Linked DNA regions of Oryctolagus cuniculus. The protein of the gene in region 1 interacts with the protein of each later gene in a pairwise test. Links are inferred from orthologs where the notes say so. Each region holds a gene or a part of one and is shown in the gene's direction. Other genes may lie near its edges.

The links. The genes of interacting proteins can lie anywhere in the genome.
Region 2: the proteins of LMNA (region 1) and TOR1AIP1 interact in a two-hybrid assay, tested with the Homo sapiens proteins (2 studies listed by BioGRID). The link is inferred for Oryctolagus cuniculus from reciprocal best matches to the Homo sapiens genes LMNA and TOR1AIP1.
Region 3: the proteins of LMNA (region 1) and IFFO1 interact in binary tests that used the Homo sapiens proteins (3 or more experiments, as listed by UniProt). The link is inferred for Oryctolagus cuniculus from reciprocal best matches to the Homo sapiens genes LMNA and IFFO1.

The regions. Positions count from the first base shown.
Region 1 is NC_091438.1:42,585,912-42,590,020, reverse strand, and holds the start of LMNA (lamin), read left to right. Parts: upstream 1-1,299; 5' UTR 1,300-1,548; coding exon 1,549-1,904; intron 1,905-3,883; exon of another isoform or gene 3,884-4,109.
Region 2 is NC_091438.1:8,058,339-8,061,855, forward strand, and holds part of TOR1AIP1 (torsin-1A-interacting protein 1), read left to right. Parts: intron 1-1,070; coding exon 1,071-1,112; intron 1,113-1,567; coding exon 1,568-1,636; intron 1,637-3,517. UniProt on the Homo sapiens protein: Required for nuclear membrane integrity. Induces TOR1A and TOR1B ATPase activity and is required for their location on the nuclear membrane. Binds to A- and B-type lamins. Possible role in membrane attachment and assembly of the nuclear lamina.
Region 3 is NC_091440.1:102,949,557-102,953,073, forward strand, and holds part of IFFO1 (non-homologous end joining factor IFFO1), read left to right. Parts: intron 1-978; coding exon 979-1,039; intron 1,040-1,182; coding exon 1,183-1,278; intron 1,279-3,517. UniProt on the Homo sapiens protein: Nuclear matrix protein involved in the immobilization of broken DNA ends and the suppression of chromosome translocation during DNA double-strand breaks (DSBs).

The DNA.
Region 1 (4,109 bases):
TTATGGCAGTGGCCTGATGTCCTGGAGTTGTAGCATTAGCAACGTAATTCAATTTCCCAGGTTCCTCATCAGAATAAGCTGTAGGCGGCACGGGGGCAGGAAGCTCCATACTGAGGAGGAGGTGCTGGGGCTGGGCTGGCCCTGGAGGAGCGGGGTGGAAGGCTGATCTCAGGGGGCTTTGGGTGAGGCCTGAGGATGGCGCCCGAGGGCCTGTGCTAGGGAAGACTGGGGACCTGGGTGACACGGTCTCCCCAGACAGCCCTGGCCGGAGGGAAGTGGCAACCCAGTGCCAGCCTTTGGGGCCAGCCAGGCTTGGGGTGGGGGGTGTCTTTACTCTTCCTGCCCTCCACTGTCCCCTTTCTGCCTGCGACTAAGATGGGAAGCCAAGATGGAGAGCCAGCCCCTGGCCCTGCTCCCCCTTTCAGGCCTCTCGGGGAACCACAAAAATCTAGGACCTGGTGTCTTGGCAACGCGATGAGCGCACGCACGCACAGCTCTGCTATCTGTTTTAGATTATCCAGTAAAATAAGTACAGTTCTGGAGCTGGCTGGGTGGGGAGGAACCCAGGCAGCCTCATTTTCCAATTGCTTGGTTCCAAAGGAGGGGGCCAGGAGACAGGCGGGGCAGTGCCTGGGTCCTATTCTTGGCTTTCTCTTGGGGCTGCAGCTTGTTGCTTGGGTCTAAGATCCAATGCTTGTATTTGGAAGACAAAAACAAGCGAAAAAGGGGATCCCTGCCCCCAAACTGAGGGTATGGGGGAACACAGGTTCCAGAACTTTGCAGCCTCCCCCCTCCCGGACACAAGCAATCCTTCCACCCCACCGCACCCCATCCCCTGGCATCCTGAGATATAGCTTTGAATGGGCTGCCCACGTGCGCAGGGGGGTTGGGGGTGACTCACTGTTACTATGGGGAGGGGAGGGGGAGCCAGCGGTGGAAGGAGGGTGAGTCACCCTCAGGAAGGAGGGCACCAACCTCAGCCCTCCCCCACTCTCCTGGCTCCCCAGTCCTGCCTGCTCGACCCCTCCTCCACTCCCCTTTGCCCACCCACTCTCTCCCCTGGGCTCTGCCCTCTGTCCCAGAAGGCCTGAGGCCGTGGGGGCAAGCTTGGAGCTGAGAGCGCTGGGCAGGCAGGAACCAAGACGGGGGAAGCGTCAGCAAAGCCCCAAGCACCCGGCGTGCGCTGGGCAGGGTGGGGCCCGACTCCGCAGCTGCCCGGGTCCCTCCTCCCCACTCCTAAGCCCCGACCCCTTGGGTATGCGACGGCCCCTTTAAGAGCAGCGGCCCCGCCTCCCCATAGAGGAGGACCTATTAGAGCCTCGGCCCCGGCGCCGGTGACTCAGTGTTCGCGGGAGCGCCGCAGCCACGCCAGCCAACCCGGCTCCCGAGGTCTGACAGCGCCCGGCCCCGATCTGCGCGCCTGCCAGGAGCGAGCCGCGACCAGCCGGCCGGCGCGCTCCGCCCCTGAGAAGCCTCCGTCCTCCGCTCCGAGCTCCGCGCCCTTCCCGGGACCCCTGCCCTGCGGGCAGCCTTGCCACCCTGCCGGCCATGGAGACCCCGTCCCAGCGGCGCGCCACCCGCAGCGGGGCGCAGGCCAGCTCCACCCCGCTGTCGCCCACCCGCATCACCCGGCTGCAGGAGAAGGAGGACCTGCAGGAGCTCAATGACCGCTTGGCCGTCTACATCGACCGTGTGCGCTCGCTGGAGACGGAGAACGCGGGGCTGCGCCTTCGCATCACCGAGTCGGAAGAGGTGGTCAGCCGCGAGGTGTCCGGCATCAAGGCCGCCTACGAGGCGGAGCTCGGGGATGCCCGCAAGACCCTCGACTCTGTGGCCAAGGAGCGCGCCCGCCTGCAGCTGGAGCTGAGCAAAGTGCGCGAGGAGTTTAAGGAGCTCAAAGCGCGGTGAGTGAGCGCAGGTGGCGCGTGCAGGGACCCCTGGCCGGCTCCGGGAAAGGAGTGGGAGCGGGAGGGCCCGGGAGGCCGGTAACTTCGCCATGGAGTCTCCTCCCTCCCCGGAACTGCCCCCGGCGGGGGCGACTGGCGGTGCCAAGGGGAACTGTCAGGACGGGGCAGAGAGGGGAGGGTCTTCGAGAGAGGGCGGCGGCTCTAAGGAGTAGTAGGGGCCAGTGGCAGGCCCGCGTTCTGGCGGGGTGGGAGTTGCCAGCCATTTGGAGGCTAGCACAAGGGCTTGAGCAAAGCCGACTGGCCCTGCCGGATCTAAGCCCTTTGGCCCCAGGCACCCAGGACACGTTGGAGTGGGTGAAGGGGTCCTATTAGAACTTTCTTGGCAGGCTTGGCTCTGTGCCAGCTTTGCCCAGGCTGGCTCTGAACGCAGGAGCCCCTATAGGACAGGGCTCCCAAGCTGGCATCCATCCAGGGGTGCGAGAGAGGTCATCAGAGCCCCCCCTTACCACTCCCAGGGCGTGGTGGTGGCTCCCCAGGCCCTCCCTTTGCCTGAGTTCTTTCTCCCTCACTCCCTGCACCTCCCAGACCGGGCCCACCAAAACAGCTCCAGGAGACTGGCTCCCCCGCAGCTCCCACAGCCCTTGGCCTGCTTGGCCCAGGAATGCAAGGGAGGGAGGGAGACAGGGCAGAGGCTCCTGGCTCAGGAAGTTGTGTTATGGCCAGAGCTGGAGGCAACCCTCCTCACCCCCCCACCCCTTGGCCCTCCACCTGATGTCTTTGAGGGCTGGGGGCTCCGTCCTTCCCTCCCCCGCTCTGGGTGAGCCACTTTCATTTTCCCAGCCAGGCCAGAGCAGTCTTTGCCCTGGCCCATCCTTCCGCCGCTGACGTTTTGATGTGCGCCTTATTAAACTGCTGGAATACAGTGACATTTTTGAAATCCGGCCGTTGGAAGGTTCAGGCCCCTCCCACTTCACCCATCCCTGCCCCACCCCACCCCACCCTACACAACTCCACCTTCCCTTCTAACAAGGCCTTCGGAAGTCTGGAGGTTAGGGCCCTCTTCTTCCAGCCTCCCCCACCCCAGAATTTGGTTTCTTCTCCTCTCTCCCCTTTCCTGTGAAGGCCCCGGCCAAAGAGCTCTTACAGGTGCTTGGAGATCCCCCGGGCGCTGGTGCCTCTGACCTCACCTCCTTCGCTCCCTTTGCATTTTTCTGCTCCAGGCTCATAACTCTTCCCGGAACCACCGGATGTTTTCTGTGGCCCTTCTGCCCTCTGCTAGCCCCCAGCCCCATGTGTGAGAGACCCATGGCCTTCCCGAAGTTATGTGTGTGTGTGTGTGTGTGTGTGTGTGTGTGTGTTGGGGGGGGGGCTGGTTCAACCTTGACGTCTGTTGAAAGAGATCACCTGTCTTTTTCCACTAGTGATACGAGCAACTTAGCAAGGCAGATAGGAGGCAAGCTAGGGGAGCCACAGTGGATTAGTTCTAAACTATTCTGCTGAATTTCCAAAGCCAACCCCCCCTCCTCCCCCAGGGATCCTATGAAGGGAGCTGGGGGAACATTGATTGGAGAGGAGTCTGTAGTTTCTTGTTCCCCACCGCCGCACGGGTCTGTCTCCTCGGCCTCCCGGTGCAGCTGTCCAGGCCTGGGACACCGGGCGGGGGTGGTGTGCCTCCTTGTTATATTTAGCCACCTGCCTGTCTTCTCCCCCACTGATCCTGACCAGGCAAGGCTGAGCTTCCGGAAGAGGGAGTAGGTTTGCACACCTGGATCCCAGGTTGACGGCAGGTGGGGTGGGGGCAGAGGGGCTCGAACTGGGGTGTCTCTTCCCTTCTATGTCCACGTTAGGAGGTGGGATTGGTGGCTTCCTTTTGTATCTGCTCAGCTCAGGGTAAGGGAGAAGTGCCCAGAATGAAGAGTTTGGGAGAGGAAGAAAGGCAGTGCCCCAACCCCTCCCATCACCAAAGAGAGGTGTCCTCTGGTTTAATGTTTAATTAGAGCTCAGAGTTCATGGCCAGACTTGAGGTGAGATACAGGGCTATCTGTAAGACCCTGTGGCAACTTTTGGCCCTGCCTGGGGAACTTGGCCACACCCAGGGGTACACACACACACACACACACCTTCCCTTTCTATTCTGGAGCCCAGGGATTAGGACACCTAAGTGCTGGAGAATGGGCAGGTTGAAAGCTCCAGAGAGGGTTG
Region 2 (3,517 bases), about 35 Mb from region 1:
CAGAGAGAGGAGAGGCAAAGAGAGAGAGGTCTTCCATCCACTGGTTCACTCCCCAGATGGCCACAATGGCCAGAGCTGCACCAATCCGAAGCCAGGAGCCAGGAACTTCTGCATCTCCCACATAGGTGCAGGGACCCGAGGACTTGGGCCATCCTCTACTGCTTTCCCAGGCCACAGCAGAGAGCCAGATCAGAAGTAGAACAGCGGGACTAGAATTGGCACCCACATGGGATGCTGGTGCTTCAGGCCAGGGCCTCAACCCGCTGCACCACAGCGCCAGCCCCCCCAAAAATACATATTTTAATATCATGGTATCCCTAACACTTAGTGTTTTGAACATAGTAGGTACTTAACAAACATTCATGAATTTTATGTTATGCATTCCTAGAATGGTACCTTTTTATAGATAGCATGTATTTCATTTGAATTCAGAAAAAATAAATTTCCGTTGATACTTAATCAAGAGTGGGTAAAAATAATTTACTTCTTCAAAGATAATTTGAACATCTACTTTTTTGTAATTTTTAAATGTTATTTTCTAATTATTCCATTGTACCATTTTAGCATTATCCTTAAATACCATTAAAGAACTTGAAATAACATTTCTGCATAGCTACTTTGTAATGTCCACAAATTTACATATATATTACATACTGTTCTATATGGCATGATATTTAGTATGGACTGCCTGTACATGTATCTCAACTACTTTCAGATACATGACCTTGATAAAATTACGAGTTTGTAAAAAAGATAATGATAGTATCTCCCACACATAAAGCATAGGAACTAAGTAAATTTACATTTGACACCTGGTAAACATATAACACATTGTCATTATTTTGATGGTAATGATCCTAAAACTGAGTCCTTGTTATTGTCCACTTGCTGGTCATTTTAAAGTTTAGGAAGGGGAATACATACATTTAGTGTTTATGTTTGGGATTGGTGAGAGAAGGGTTTGACTTTTTGTATGTGTTTGGTATCTGCAGTAGTGAGCAGTGTCTGTATAGCCTATTTTTTGTTTCTATTCCGAGTGTTTCTGACCTTACCCCTGTCTCCTGCCTCAGGTGGAGATGTCAGAGCCCGTGACAAGCAGCCTGCAGTGCTGAGTAAGTGGTTAGTGGCTGCCCCTCTCTTCAAGCGGTCAGTTCCAACCCCACGTTACGCTGCCAACAAAAGATCCTGTTGGAATTTTAAGTCATCTTACCCTCTTTGCTTTTCTTCTCTGACACACATCGGTACTGCATGTGGTAATTGCTCTGGGCAAGAGGTGGTGGTGAACTTTTCCTCCAAGTCATTCTCATAGACCCCTGCACAGGACTTACACACAGTTTTTTCTGTTGGGTGGCGATGCATTTGTTTTGCTACCTGTTTTGTTATAAAAAGTGATTCAATCCTTACTGATACACTCCCTTGAAATTATCTTTTACTTCTCAAACTATTGCTTTCATTGTTTTCCTCTCCTACTTTATTTAGACTTCCTGATAGATATATAACACAAGAATATAATATGTTAACTTTCAAAGTATATGAAATGATATTTTGATATATGCATTTGCTCTAGGCTCGGGATATCAAAAAAACCCTCAGGAATGGGGCGAACAAACCTTAAGAATGAGGGTTGGGATGCAAAGTAAGTAGCTCATTTGCTGTTTTTCTTGATTTCCTCACATACAGAAACATTGAGTGCTTTGATATGCATTTAGGTCACTTGTGATTTTACAGATGAAGGGTGACTGTGATTACCAGTTTAGGGATTTCCATTTCCTTGGATAGGTAACATAGGACTGGGTATAGAATGTAGGAAGGTACTTCAGAAACTTCATGGAAAATGAAATTAACAGAGAAGTTTATTTTGGTGTGAAATCCATGCAGAGATTTTTTGTAATTTTCATTTTCCAGTGAACTTTCTGAAGACCCTTTGTGAACAGTGGTGTGAGACAGTGCGTAATGATGGGTCTAAATGTGACAAGCTGTCAGTTCTAGCAGCATTGCAGTCTGTGTAGGATAGAAAATTCCACTTTTTTACAATACCTGCTTTTTGTTATTAGCAGACTTTTTAAAATAACCATTTGGAGACTCTTTTTGAAGGTTATAAAGAAAAACAAGATACACTGCTGTAGTGATGTCATTTACCAAGCCAGAAATACCTAAATTAACCTTATCTTCATAATGAAAAGTCCTTGCATGAGAAAGAAAATCATGGCTTTTCCATTTCTAACCAATGAACTTGTGAATGGCTCCAATTCTTTGGCTTTGTTTCTTTTAGCCAAAGTCACTAAAATTGTTAAGATATAAAGAAAACACTTGGATTAATCAAAGAAAAAGAGTTTAAATATGAAGTTTATAACAGAGTACAACTAAGAAAGTAAATTTATTTAAATTACTAAAATAGCTAATTTTTTTGTAGATTTATTTTTTTATCTGAAAAGCAAAGCTAGAGAGAGAGAGGGCGCGACAGAGAAATCTTCCATCCTGTGGTTCACTCCCTAAATGGCCACAGCCGTCAGGGCTAGACCAGGCCGAAGCCAGGAGTTTTATCCGGGTCTCCCACATGGGTACAGAGGCCAAAGGACTTGGGCCGTTATCTGCTGCTTTCCCAGGCCGTTAGTAGGGAGTTGAACTTGAACCGGCACCCACATGAAATGCTGTCATTGCAGGCGGCAGTTTGACTTGTTATGCCACAGCACCAGCCACAAATTACTAAAATAGCTAATTTTAAAGACATTTACAGATCAGCTACTACAGTTTTTTTCCTGAAAGACCTAAGTAGCATATTTGAAAATTATTTGGGTCAGTGTTGTCACAAACATTTGTTTCTCTGTATGATATGTATGTATAAAATAAGCCTTTTCAAAAATTCCTGTTTTATAGCCCTCATAAATCAGGTGATCTGACTTTTGCTAGTCATCACGAGTATCATCACACAAAATAGCACTTCAGCATTTTCACATGCATTATGTCATTTGATCTTTGCAGCCATGTAGAGAGATATTCAAGGTAAACATCTGATAGGTTTGGGATGTTTTGTGTGGTTAGATTTTATAGGTCCTTTTTTTTTTTTTAGCAATACAGTTGTAACTTTGGTGGCCTAACTTAGAAGCTTCTTAATAAAGTTTCCTAAGCTAAAAACTAGTGATTAAAAAAGAATATGTCTCTTAGAGTTAGGATTGATGTCATTTTCTTACTTGGGGTGTTGTCATATGAGCAAAAAGTATTTTTATATCTTTGTGGTGCTTTTTTTTTTTTTTCATAAGATTTATTTATTTTGTTTGAAAGCCAGAGTTACAGGGTGAGAGGGAAGGAGAAGAGAGAACCATCTGCTGGTTCATTTCCCAAAAGGCCGCAATAGCCAGGGTGGGTCCAGACCAAAACCAGGAGCCCAGAGCTTCTTCCTGGTCTCCCATATGTGTGCATGGATGCAAACACTTGAGTCGTCTTCCACTGCTTTCCAGTCGTGTTAGCAGGGAGCTGGATCGGAAGAGGAGCAGCTGGGACTGGAACCAGCGCCCAT
Region 3 (3,517 bases), on another chromosome or scaffold:
CACTGCAGTGCGGCTGCGGGTGAGCTGCACAGGAGGGCACGAGGAGGGCCGGCCTGGAGAGGGCCACGGAGGGAGGGGCATGAAGAGACGGAATCCCGGCTCTGGGAGCGCACTCTTGGTTTTGATTTCTTGGCTGTCCTCCTCGCTGCTTGCTAACCAGCTTTCTGTCTCGGTGCAGCCCCCGTTCTGATGAGGCAGCGAGGGGGGTCTGAGCGTGACAGGTGAATAGGTCCTGGGGTGACAGTGGTGTCGTTCCCGCCTCCCCTTCCCACTGGGCCCTGGGCCCTGCCCCGTGGCTGCCAGTGCCTTGAGCCCACGTGTGGCCCCCTTAGTGTCTGCGTTCTGAGTCGTGGGGACTGCAGCCGCTCTCATCTCCCTTTCCCCCTGGGTTTGGGCATTTCTCTCCGTCCGCCTCCTGCTGTCTACTGCTTTCAGGCTGCTGGGGAGTTGAGGCCCCTGGGCCGGCCCTGCCTCCTCTCTGCGGCTCCTGTAGAGGGGGCTTGGGGGGAACTGGGGGGGGGGGAACAGGACTCTGAGCATCTCCTCCCTCCCAGGCTCCTGACAGCCCTGTTGATATGGTGTGTGTCCTGCAGATGCTTTGCAGGGTTAAATGGTCCCACGGGAGACAGGGCAGCGGGCTAGACAAGCTCTGTTCTGGTGCGGGCAGGAGGCGGGAGACCGGATCTGTGCCACTGAAGGTGGGAGACTGGGCCGGGCGGGCCTGGCAGTCTGGTGTGGGCAGGTGGTGGGTGTCGAGGCTGGCCAGACAGCTGGGGGAGCTGGGGTGCCAGGGCCTAGAGCAGCAGCAGCTGCTCTTAAATATAGTCCTGGGGCGTGGCCCGGAGTTCCGGGCAGGCAGCTGGTAAGCAGCCAACAGCTGCTGCTGGCCCCCGCCTGGGGGCTGAGCCTGACCCGGGAACTGCAGGCCAGGGAGGCCTCAGTGCCTGAGTTCTCTCCCCTCCTTGCCTTGTGTGTCAGGTGGGAAGAAGAGTACACGGTGCGCATGCAGCTGCAAGACCGAGTGACCGAGCTCCAGGAGGTGAGGGCGGCTGGCCTGTTGCCTGTGCTCCCCTCGGGGTCCCCCCACGGGCCTTTGGCCCCAGTGCCGGCTCCTTGTGCCTCCTTGTCATCGTAAGCTTCTGCCCACGTGGCCACTGATGTCGTGGTCTTCCCCGCTCATAGGAAGCCCAGGAGGCTGACGCGTGCCAAGAGGAGCTGGCCATGAAAGTGGAGCAGCTGAAAGCGGAGCTGGTGGTCTTCAAGGGGCTCATGAGCAATGTGAGTGCGGCACCTCTGCCGACCCTGCTGGCGCCAGGCGGGCAGCCCTTCCTAGAGCGCTGCGCTGTGGGCCTGTGCTCAGCCCCGCCCTTTCTTGTTTTTAAAGATTTATTTATTTATTTTATTTACTTGAAAGAGTTACAGAGAGGTAGAGACACAGAGAGAGAGGTCTCCCATCCACTGGTTCACTCTCCAAATAGCTGCAATGGCCGGAGCTGAGCCAGTCGGTAGGCAGGAGCCAGGATCCTCCTCTAGGTCTCCCATGTGGGAGCAGGGACCCAAGCACTTGGGCCATCCTCCGGTGCTTTCCCAGGCACATGAGCAGGGAGCTGCATCAGAAGAGGAGCAGCTGGGACTCCAACTGGCACCCATGTGGGATGCCAGTGCCGCAGGCCGGGACTAACCCACTGGGCCACAGTGCCGCCCTCCACTCCTTCCCTCTTACTGGCTGCCAGGCAAGAGCTGAAGAAGGAGTAAGGCCTGGTGCTGGGTCACATGGGCAGTGTGGCCTGCATGTTACTGGGGCTGTTCAGCCCTAGTAAGAGCGCAGCTTCAGAGCCGGCAGCCAGGTTCATGTCCAGGCGCTGCAGCTTGGAGTGTGGCCTTGGGCGAATCCAGTGCTTGGGAATATTCATCTGCTGCTGGAACCTCAGCCTTGGCCGGGGGCAAAAAGACCTGCACTTGGGAGAATTACGTGAATGTTTTCTGTATCCAGGGCAGGGCCTGGCGAGCACAAGCATCCTTCAGATCATTCACAGAGAGGTCGGCATTGGGGTACAGTGGGTTAACCACAGCCTTCAATACTAGCATCCCATATGAACACCAGTTCGAGTCCCAGCCACTCCTCTTCCTGCTGATGTATCTGAGAAAGCAGCAGAAGATGGTCCAAGTGCTTGGGCCCCTGCACCCACATGGGAGACCATGGAGTTCTGGCTTCTGTCTGGCTGGGCCCTGGCCATGGTAGCCATTTGGGGGATGAACCAGAAGATGGAAGATATCTCCTTCTCTACCTTTCTCTGTCTTTCTATAAGTCTGCCTTTCAAATAAATAAATACATCTTAAAAAAAAAATCATGGAGGTACACGCACTGTGGCATAGCAGGTTAAGCCTCTACCTGCAGTGCCAGCACCCCATACGGGCACCAGTTGGAGTCCCCACTGCTCCTCTTCTGATCCAGTTCCCTGCTAATGTGCCTGGGAAAGTAGCAGAGGATGGTACAAGTGCTTAGGCCCCTGTACCCACATTGGAGACCCAGATGGAGCTCCTGGCTCCTGGCTTCACTCTGGCCCATCCTGGCCATTGTGGCCATTTGGGGAGTCAATCAGCAGATGGAAGACTCCCCCCCTTCTCTGTAACTCTACCTTTCAAATAAATAAAATAAATGTTTTTAAAATGCATGGAAAATCAAATTAAAAGAGGTATTTAAAGGCAGGTGTGCCCTGGTGGTTAGAACACTGCTTAGGATATCCACATGCCGTATTGGAGTGTGATAGGTCCCAGTCCCAGATTTGCTTCCGATTTCAGCTTCCTGCTGATGTGCACCCTGGGAGGCAGCAGGTGATGGCTCAAGTAGTTGAGTCCCTACCATCCACATGGAAGAACTGGATTGACTCCCTTCCTTCCTTCCTTCCTTCCTTCCTTCCTTCCTTCCTTCCTTCCTTCCTTCCTTCCTTCCTTCCTTCCTTCCTTCCTTCCTTCCTATCTTCCTATCTTCCTATCTTCCTATTTATTTATTTAAGAGGCGGAGAGAGAGATCCACTAGTTCACTCCACAATTGGCTGCAACAACCAGAGCTGCACCAATCCGAAGCCAGGAGCCAGGAGCTTCTTCCGGGTCTCCCACATGGGTGCAGGGGCCCAAAGACTTGGGCCATCTTTTACTGTTTTCCCAGGCCATAGCGGAGAGCTGGATTGGTAATGGAGCAGCCGGGACTTGAACCAGCACCCATGTGGGATGCTGGCACTGCAGGCGGTGGCTTTACCCACTACGCCAGTGCCAGCCCTGTGGATTGAGTTTCTAGCTCTCAGCTTTGGCCTGGCCCAACTCCAGCTGTTGCAGGTGTTTGGGAGTGAACCAATGGGTTTTAGTCTGCCTCTCCCTTGGTCTGTCTGCTTTTCAAGTAAATATAAATGGATTTATTTATTTGAGAGGTAAAGTTATAGACAGAGAGAGGGAGAGACGGAGAGAAAGGACTTCCATCCTCTGGTTCACTCCCCAAATGTCTACAACAGCCAGAACT